2 linked regions of the Bombyx mori genome follow. The protein of the gene in region 1 purifies or fractionates together with the protein of each later gene. This does not show direct contact. Links are inferred from orthologs where the notes say so. Each region holds a gene or a part of one and is shown on either strand. Other genes may lie near its edges.

Region 1 (4,619 bases):
AATCGACATGCCTATAGGTAACAAAAAACTAATATAACATTTCTTTTTTTTATCTGCCTATGCGTCGTGACACTAGTCAGGCACGTGTTTCTCATAATTTAAGTCATCGACCTACACATGTACGTCTTCAGAGATAGTTTTGTTTTTAGTAGATGGCTATATGAAGTTTTCAAAAGTATTTGCGTAAAATATAACACACAAGCTTCCATCCAAACATCTCAAATTATATATCCAACCGGCCGACTGACTTATGGACTTTAAAAAGCGCGCCAACTGCTCTCGGCACTGTTCGGAGTATCGTCAGCCAATCAAGAGTCCGACGTGCAACCGAACGAAGTCGTGAGAGAGAACGAAATAGACGCCCGTTTCTATATGGAATCGCCCGTGTTAGACAGAGACAGTGCAACATTCTATTTGCCTACATTTCATGGCTCCACTGCATGATATAACAAAATTGTGCATTTTTGCAAAAAACTCAAAAATATTGACTGAAACATGCATGAAACATGTTTTTGTGGTTTCGACATTGATTATACAAACGTTCAGGGTTCCAATACATTTTGCGATTTTTCGTCGATTTCTTAAAATTTAATCATATCTAATCGCTCATTTCGATTAAAAACGTAAATAAACGATATCTCCTGATGTTTTGTTGAATGAAATACTCACAAGTTCCTCATAGGACTGTGTGTGTTCGGTTCCCAGCCAGTCCAGTCGCCGCGGCAGCACCTACACACAAGTGCAACGTTACGGACTTTCAGTCAGTTTCAGCTGTTTGACAGCGCTATCCACGTGCGTTTACAATCAAAACAAACCTAAGCTCTGAACCCGGCGCTAGGAAAAGCTCTAACTTACCTCGATCGTCTCGAGCTCTTTCAGCAGTGTCTGTTGACAAAAATACTCATTTTAGTCTAAAAAATCGTAATAAAGTGTAATTTAGAATGATCGGTAGTGAATTTACCTTTGCAGTTTCCTTAAGTGGACCACCAGACAGAAATTTCGCTATCAGAAAGTAGAGTTCTGAAATCGGAAAAGCTATCGTTATTAGACCTTGTACGTTCGAGATCGACACATTCATGTGTTATTTTCTGGGCTTATAGCCTACCTGGAATTACGTTATACTCTTCGTTGGATTCCTCCATTCTCCTAGTTTTTATTCCAACATAGAGATCTACACTTATTCATCACATTCACTGAAAATTCTTCGAAAACATTTCACTTTACATTGTTGACGAACAGATAATGCAACCCTTGGAATAATAGCAAAATGGCGTATGTTTCGTCGGCAAAACAGCTTGCACCTAGTTAACCACTCCGCTCAAACAGCCAAGCCGGTTTTACAGGCTAATTCGGTAGATGACGCTATAGTTCATTTAAATTTCTAGAAAATAATAATTTTAATCTTTAAATTAAATATATGCCGTATGTATGTACTTAATATTATTCTTTTTTTTCTTATTTGTGTACAGAACTTTTAAGTCTTCATTTTTACGTAGAATAGTTGACGTTGCCGGCCTTGACCCTATCTGACTTATTTTATTTTAATCGCTCGCAACACCTACAAAAGTAATGTGAACTATTTATGTGCGGGCGTTCTGCTTATAAGTCTAAGTCGCGATATCACGATAAAAATAATGAGTTTTGATGTTACTAAATACTCAAAGACTCTTAAAATTGTTTCTAACGTTAAGTTCCATTAAGTCACAACTGTGCAATAAAGCTTCGTTAACTTGTGCTTCTGTGTTCGTTGAAAACAAGAGAAGAACAGTAACCATCGAGCGATGCATCTTCGGTGATTTTAATTAAACAACATCGTATTTATGTAAGTAAACGTTACCACATTAAATTAAATAGATCGAAACATAGAATCATAAGACAAATATATATTTTTTTTTTATTTTCATGTTAAAAGTCTAAAAATAAACTTGTCTTAATTGTTTATTGACCCATCGCCCTGTCATATCAGCCAGTGGACGCTAGTGAAGTGAAAGAACATATTTAGAATGAGCCTACAGAGTAAAATCATTTTATCGCTGCGTTCGTTCGTGTGGTTTTGTCACTCAATATATTTACCACCATTGTTTATTCAAAATACTTTATTGATAGCAAAATAACATAATGATTGTTTGAAAATCTGAAAATAACATAGTCAGAAAGTCAAGTACACACTGAAGTAGCATTCTGCCTTCACTATAGTCATTTATTACTAAACAAGTATTAATTTGCTGGTAAGCAGTGGGAACAGTAGTACGTAGGATCTGGGCTGAGTATAGGTCGTTGTCAGTGATTGTATCAAATTCTTGTTCTGAGTAACAGTCGAAATAGTACCTTCTACTGCCTGACTCAATCAAAAAGCCTTAGCTTTGTTTAAATATTTGACAGAACATCAATAAAATATAATTGTGTATTACAGAGGAATGTCGGGTGCCGCAGCCAGCAGTGCAGGCTCTGGCACGGCCACCACTCTCGGAGGACTTGGCGGCTCACTTGAGGATAAGGTTTGTACTGAGGCAGAAAAACATGGGGTCAAAGGCTATTTATAAAAGTTTTAGAGACTTTTTTGCAACATGGGAGTTCGATTCTAAATTGGTGAAATTGTTTTTTGTGACTTCGGCTAATTCGTTGTTGATCGATTTGTGGAACTTCTTAAAGAAACCTTCGTTTTCTTCAGTCATTTTTTATTTAATGAATACACATATGCAGTGTGTAATCGAAGGAAATTATAGGTTAGCCGGCATAAGAAACACGGTGTGCACGAGACACTGCTCCAATACTCTATTTGAATGGCAACAGAGGAGCCATTTAAAATGTGGAAAAAATATTATATCAAAAAACTTCTTCAGATATTTGAATGGGGTAAACTCATTGAAGTTCATTTAAAAATATGGAATTGTTGATATTAATACTAAATAAAGTAAACATTTAATTACAAAGATAAATGTCATGCATTATGCTAATGTCACACCAAATAACATTTCATATATTATAGCCCTCAATATATTACACCAGGTGAATCAAAAGTATTCCAGAAAACAAAGACAAGTATTATAAAAATAGAGATGCATTATTTTTTTCTTTTTCATATAAAATGTATAAATCATCCCAGAGCTACCATTTTATTGTAGATCCACTAGTGTGTAAAATTACAAACTAAATATTATCAAAATCTGTGTAGGCATTTTTGTGACTTTTTTCCATTACCTATTCGCTGGTAGCCTAAGGGGGGCTATTCCGGCTTAGCACAAAAAGTCATTAAGATAATGAATATAATTAAATGAAGGCTTTAATTACATTATTGGTAATTACATTATTGTTATTACTATAAAAGATTGATGCCGCAGCTAATATGAAACACATCTTTACTATTCAGAACTTATTTATTACTACCTTAATCTTATTACACCACATTACATTACGGTATATATTATCTATTTATTCTGTGTATATATTTTCTATAATAATGTATGACTAATAGTACACTGCAATATACCTGCTATATCTTTATGTTTTCCAGAATTTCTGTAAGTTAATCAGTTGTCTGGAAGAAATCGTTTTAGAGATAAGATCGCCTATTGTACAAATGCATCTGTTTGTTAACTGTTTTCTAATGTTTTTATTTTTTTATTGCCCTTGTAGGTAGAGCATACGGCCCACCTGATGGTGAGTGGTTACCGTCGCCCATGGACTTCAGCAATGCCAGGGGCAGAGCCAAGCCGCTGCCTACTGCAAATTTTAATTGTGTTTTGGTGTGCAATGAAGTATGTTCTCTGTCTCTCTTTCTCTACTCTTATAGAACTACCAACAGTGTTTCTTACTGGGCAGATGGTACTTCTCCAGAAAGTTTTTTTTCCTACCTAAGCTGGTAGCTTTAGAGGGCTATGCCACTGTGACAAAGCGACTAGGTGAGCTCATAGAGCTCTAACCTGAAGAGGAGTAGTCAGTAAGGAGCCTTTGAACTGACTTCGTTTCTGTCATGTGTGATCACAAGCGCGTGTAATCCTTTGTTGGTAATGAGACAGGCAGTTTCATGGGCAATTTATTCTTAGTCTAGCCTAGCTGTCCACCTAGTAGTGCTGACTTCCTAGAGCGTCAGGGTCCATTATCATCAAAAAGATTGAAGGCCATAAACACTATTTAGTGATGTACAGATTCTAATGCACCCAACCGTGGGTATATGTAATAAAATGTAATGTAAAAAGGAGTATCAGAAATGTATCTGCAAAAAATCATTATTATTACAAACTAGCAGACCCGGCAGATTTCGTAGTGCCTCAATCGATAAATAAAAGACCTAAACTTTTGTATAAAATAAACTTAAAACAAACAAAAGGAATCCGTCCGACGGAGGACACATCAAAGGAAAAACAAAATTGTTATTTTTATTTAATTCCGAACATTTTCATATTTATCTGCCTTTTAAACCTTCTCTGGTCTTCCACAAATAATTAAAGACCACAATTAGCCAAATCGGTCCAGCCGTTCTCGAGTTTTAGCGAGACTAACGAACAACAATTCATTTTTATATATATAGATTTTGATTTAGAATAGAGAGATTGCAAGTTTGAAGCTCAGCTGTGACCAACGTGACCAACAGGACTGTGAGCTCCTGTGCCCGGTGT
Region 2 (4,379 bases), on another chromosome or scaffold:
CGGAATTATATAAAAACAAACAATTTTGATTTTCCCTTTATGTGTTCCCCGTTGGACGGGTTTCTTTTGTTTGTTTTAAATTTATTTTATACAAAACTTTAGGTCTTTTATTTATCGATTGAGGCACTACGAAGTCTGCCGGGTCAGCTAGTACTCTTTAAAATACTCATAGAAGGTACTCATTAAAATCAACTGTGGGTAAATTTCTTTAAAATTAAATACTTATTACTCTGTTGCGGTTATTATTTTAGTGAAACTTTAACCGTTTCCACAGCGCACGTACTGGAAGCTCTCAAAAGGGAAAAAGCCCCGATTTTGAAACATTCTTCATTGGTGCTCTTATCTTAGGGTGATGTTATATAGCTTCCTCAATAAATGGGCTATCTAATACTGAAATAATTTTTCAAATCGGACCAATAGTTCAAATTTCAAGTTCAAGTTCAAACAAACAAACTCTTCAGCTTTATAATATTAAGTATAAATTTTTCATTTATAAAAGTTTTCATTAAAATTAAAATAAGACTTGACCTAAAGGTTTTAGTTACCAGGTCATGAAATCCCATAAAAAGCAGAGTATTTTTTTGTTTTTAAATTGTTACCTACTTTAGTGTATTAAAAAACTTTGGACGGATTTGCGTAACCAAAATATCACTGTTGAATTCACATGGACTCCAGCACATTGTGGAGTGGTGGGCAATGAAAAAGTTGATAATTTTGCAAAATCAATAAATAACTTGGGTGGCCAGATTAAAAATATTTCAATTCCATGGCAAGACCTAGTTCCTGATATTCGTCAACAAATTAATAAAGATTGGCTCGAAAACAGACAGCATATAAATGAAACCAAAGGTAAATGGTATGCTGAAATAAATAATGAAATCGGTATTAAACTCTGGTTCGCTAGGAGCAAATATTTCTGTAAAAGGAAGTTCTACACACAGATTTGTAGACTGAGATTTGGTCATTGCAAATTTAACGCTCACCTTTACCGAATGAAAATAACTTCATCACCAAATTGTAATAAATGCTCCCTAAATGAAGAACAAACTTTACAACATATTTTTTTCACATGTCCAGCTTTTAATATTCATCGCATCCTATTTATTGATAATACTGCAAGAGGTTTATAAGGATAGCATCCCGCCTTCTCTTCAAGAATTGCTTAAGTGCACTGCAAGTTTTAGAGCAGTATATGAATACATTAACTCTACTTTCGGAGACTTATAATGGAGAACACAAATTTTGACTTTATAGTCAGATTTTCCAAGAAACACGATTGCGACAACTCTCAACCGAAACAAATTGGTTTTTTTTTTATCTGAATAGACATTTACACGGATTTGAAAAATATTTATAAATGAAAAATACTAAAGAATTGGCTTTTTTGCCTTGAAACATAAAATTATATATGAAAATATTAAACTTAAGAATTGGCTGTATGGCTTAGTCCCATTGCCTTTCTCTTCGAGAAAAACCTTACTACTACTACTCATATTGATACAAACTCTCAAATATAATAAGTGTATAATCTATGGATACAAAGGTACATAAATAACGAAAGGACTTTTTGGCGGGAACGCGAGGAGTGAAGTTGTGTGATTTGTTTTATTTTGTCTATTTAGTGTTTCTTCGGGTTTAAATGTGTAATAATGGTGGTTTATTAACCGTTTAATATCTGTGAAAGTGCACAAATGTGGGAAAATGAAACAAAGCCGCTGGACGTAACTTCTCGGGATCCTCCAAAAAGTCCACTGAAAAATCTTAGTAAATTACCACCATTTTACTGAGATTAGATTTCATCTCATATCATCTCATTTAATTTCATCCTAGTTGATTAATGTCTCAAATTAATCATTTTCATTTCATTTCACTCCATAACATCATTTTTCATAAAATTAAGAATATAGATTAAAATAAGACATGACTTAAAGGTCTCAGTTACCAGGTCATAAAATCTCTTAAAAAAAAAAAAAAAAAATAACGAAAGTACTTTTAGAAATTAAATCGTGCCTTTGCAATGGCTTCTGGGAGTAGTTCGAAATTTATTTATTATGAGGACCCTCCACCCGGAGCAATCGACGAAAAGGAATTCTTTTGCACAGAAAAAATTGTACCTCGAAAAATAAAACCTCAAAATATCGTCATAAGATTAATGGAAAGAGAAATACACGGGTCACGGAAACCTGGATCGCATTTTCACGTTGTTCGTGAATTTTATCAGAATGTTTTTCCAAATTTAACTATCGTAAACGTTGAGAAACCTCCGTGCTTTTTGAGGAAGTTTAGTCCAGATGGTAAACATTTCATAGCATTCTCAGCTGATCAAACTTCTCTGGAGGTATGTTAATGTATGATGTTGACGTTTTATGATTTAAGTGTGTAATAAAAACAAACATTAACTTTGAGTAAATGCTGTTGGTTGTTTTTTTCTGTTTAATTTTGCAAATAGTAGATTTGTATTTCAGATCTATGAATACAGAGGTGCTTCTAGTGCAGGAGACTTAGTGGCTGGTTATCCAACTGACTTGCTTAATGCAGATGCTGATGCTCATCACAGAATTAGAACACATATATTTTATAGATTCTTTAAGGTATGATATATTGTGTCATGTTTTATTAATTTGTTTAGGTGTTCATATATTATTAATTATATAGGCTTACTTTCTCAATCTCTCTTTTAAAACAATACATCTGTATTGAAGAATACATCCATCTCAAGATAATTTATTTATATTGTAGTCTTAATCTCTAACAGTGGCTGTCAGTTTCGACATATATCCCTCTATCAGCCAGATATAGATACATAGTTACCCACAATTTTCTTACTGAACTGTACCAAGGAGACATGCAAGAAAGAGACAACCCTTATTGATTGCAATAATGTGATTTGATGGAATGATAAGAAAATGTCTATCTAAATAATAAAATTATCTTTATAGCCTAAGTTTACAGTGAATGTTTGTCAACAAAGAGATATCAGATCTGATCGTCTTGGTAACATGCCTGTGATGGAGCAACAACTCAACAGAGAATGCAGCTTGTTTACTGAAGATGGTAGATATGTAATAGTGGGATCTGCAGCACATATTCCAGATGACTTGAGACCACATTTTTATCACATTCACAGTAACAATGAAGCTGTCACGCCTACAATAAGGTATTTTTTAATCTGTAATATTATTTAGAGTCCGATACTTAATTTTCATACTCCCGCAGCATCATAGCACAGCTATTATTAGTTTTTTAAATTAAAAATATAGTAAGTGCAACATATCATAAAGGTTTTAATAAATTTGTCATGGCAAATTGAAGTAAGCTTAATTCATTATTGTAAGCAAAAAAAAAAGAACAATGTATAAGTTGTGCTGAAATCATAAATGTTGATTTCTTCCCCTAGGCCAAAACCGGTGGAATACAGGTGGTGAAAAATATATACCCAAAAATTTGGGATCATGATGTAAGAATTCATACATCAATACAATGTACATACATTTATATACATTAAATAATTGTTAGCAGGCAGTGTCTTGGCTATGGCATTGCAAGCCTTGAGGGAATTTAACTGCTTTCCAATAGGTCTTGCGTATGGTTTCAAAGGCAATTAAAATAATTTTGTAATCACAAATCTGAAAGATTTCTTCCAATTATTTATCGTTTTTTAATTTTATATTGCTTCGATGTGTGGACGTGCTCACAGTTCACCTGGAACCAGAGTCCATAGACATCAGAAACGTAAATGTCGCGACCCATCTTGAATTTTAATTCAGTTTTAAAATACAATGGCTGCCTCACCCTTATACCGAAACATATTACTGCTTCACGGCAGAAATAGGCAGGGTGGTGGTACTTACGTGGTGCGTGCTCACAAGACGCCTTACCACAAATAACTACGTAAATTTAAACTTTTGAGCATTTGACTTTTATTCGGAAATCATTCGTGAACATGCATTGCATGCATATTTCATATGAAAATTATTGGGATTCGAACACCGGTGTGCTTAGTGCGAGTTTTTTAACTTCTCGATCGCGTAAAAGTTAATTTATGGAGTTGGAACGCCCCTACGTTTGCCGCTACAGTACAGTCGCACCGCTCGATATGAATACACCTGACTTTAGGCAACGACGAGCTATTTTTTCCCAAACTTTTCTCTGGTAGCCTAAGAAGCTATTCCGGCTTCACGAATTCAGGACGGCAACTTCAATATGTGGAATATGCATTGAAATATAATTGTTTAGGTACCTAGTTTATATGTATGTGCACAGTTTCAAATTCATTTAAAAGCTTTGCCCAACAACATGAAGCTTTCGTTAACAAAGTGAGTTAACCGCCTGGTACGGCAGAGTTGTCTTATCTTAGAAGTTCTAAGTTAGAACTCTAC

The links.
Region 2: the proteins of E3 ubiquitin-protein ligase COP1 (region 1) and DET1 homolog purify together in Homo sapiens (affinity purification with western blotting; 11 studies listed by BioGRID and IntAct, counting the BioPlex papers as one, with this or other methods). This does not show direct contact. The link is inferred for Bombyx mori from reciprocal best matches to the Homo sapiens genes COP1 and DET1.

The regions. Positions count from the first base shown.
Region 1 is NC_085130.1:9,512,051-9,516,669, reverse strand, and holds the start of E3 ubiquitin-protein ligase COP1, read left to right. Parts: upstream 1-1,680; 5' UTR 1,681-1,822; intron 1,823-2,413; 5' UTR 2,414-2,417; coding exon 2,418-2,498; intron 2,499-4,594; coding exon 4,595-4,619. Other genes in the region: PH-interacting protein, read right to left, coding at 670-729, 856-885, 962-1,020, 1,106-1,142. UniProt on the Homo sapiens protein: E3 ubiquitin-protein ligase that mediates ubiquitination and subsequent proteasomal degradation of target proteins.
Region 2 is NC_085127.1:9,203,469-9,207,847, reverse strand, and holds the start of DET1 homolog, read left to right. Parts: upstream 1-1,549; 5' UTR 1,550-2,017; coding exon 2,018-2,338; intron 2,339-2,465; coding exon 2,466-2,591; intron 2,592-2,939; coding exon 2,940-3,157; intron 3,158-4,379. UniProt on the Homo sapiens protein: Component of the E3 ubiquitin ligase DCX DET1-COP1 complex, which is required for ubiquitination and subsequent degradation of target proteins. The complex is involved in JUN ubiquitination and degradation.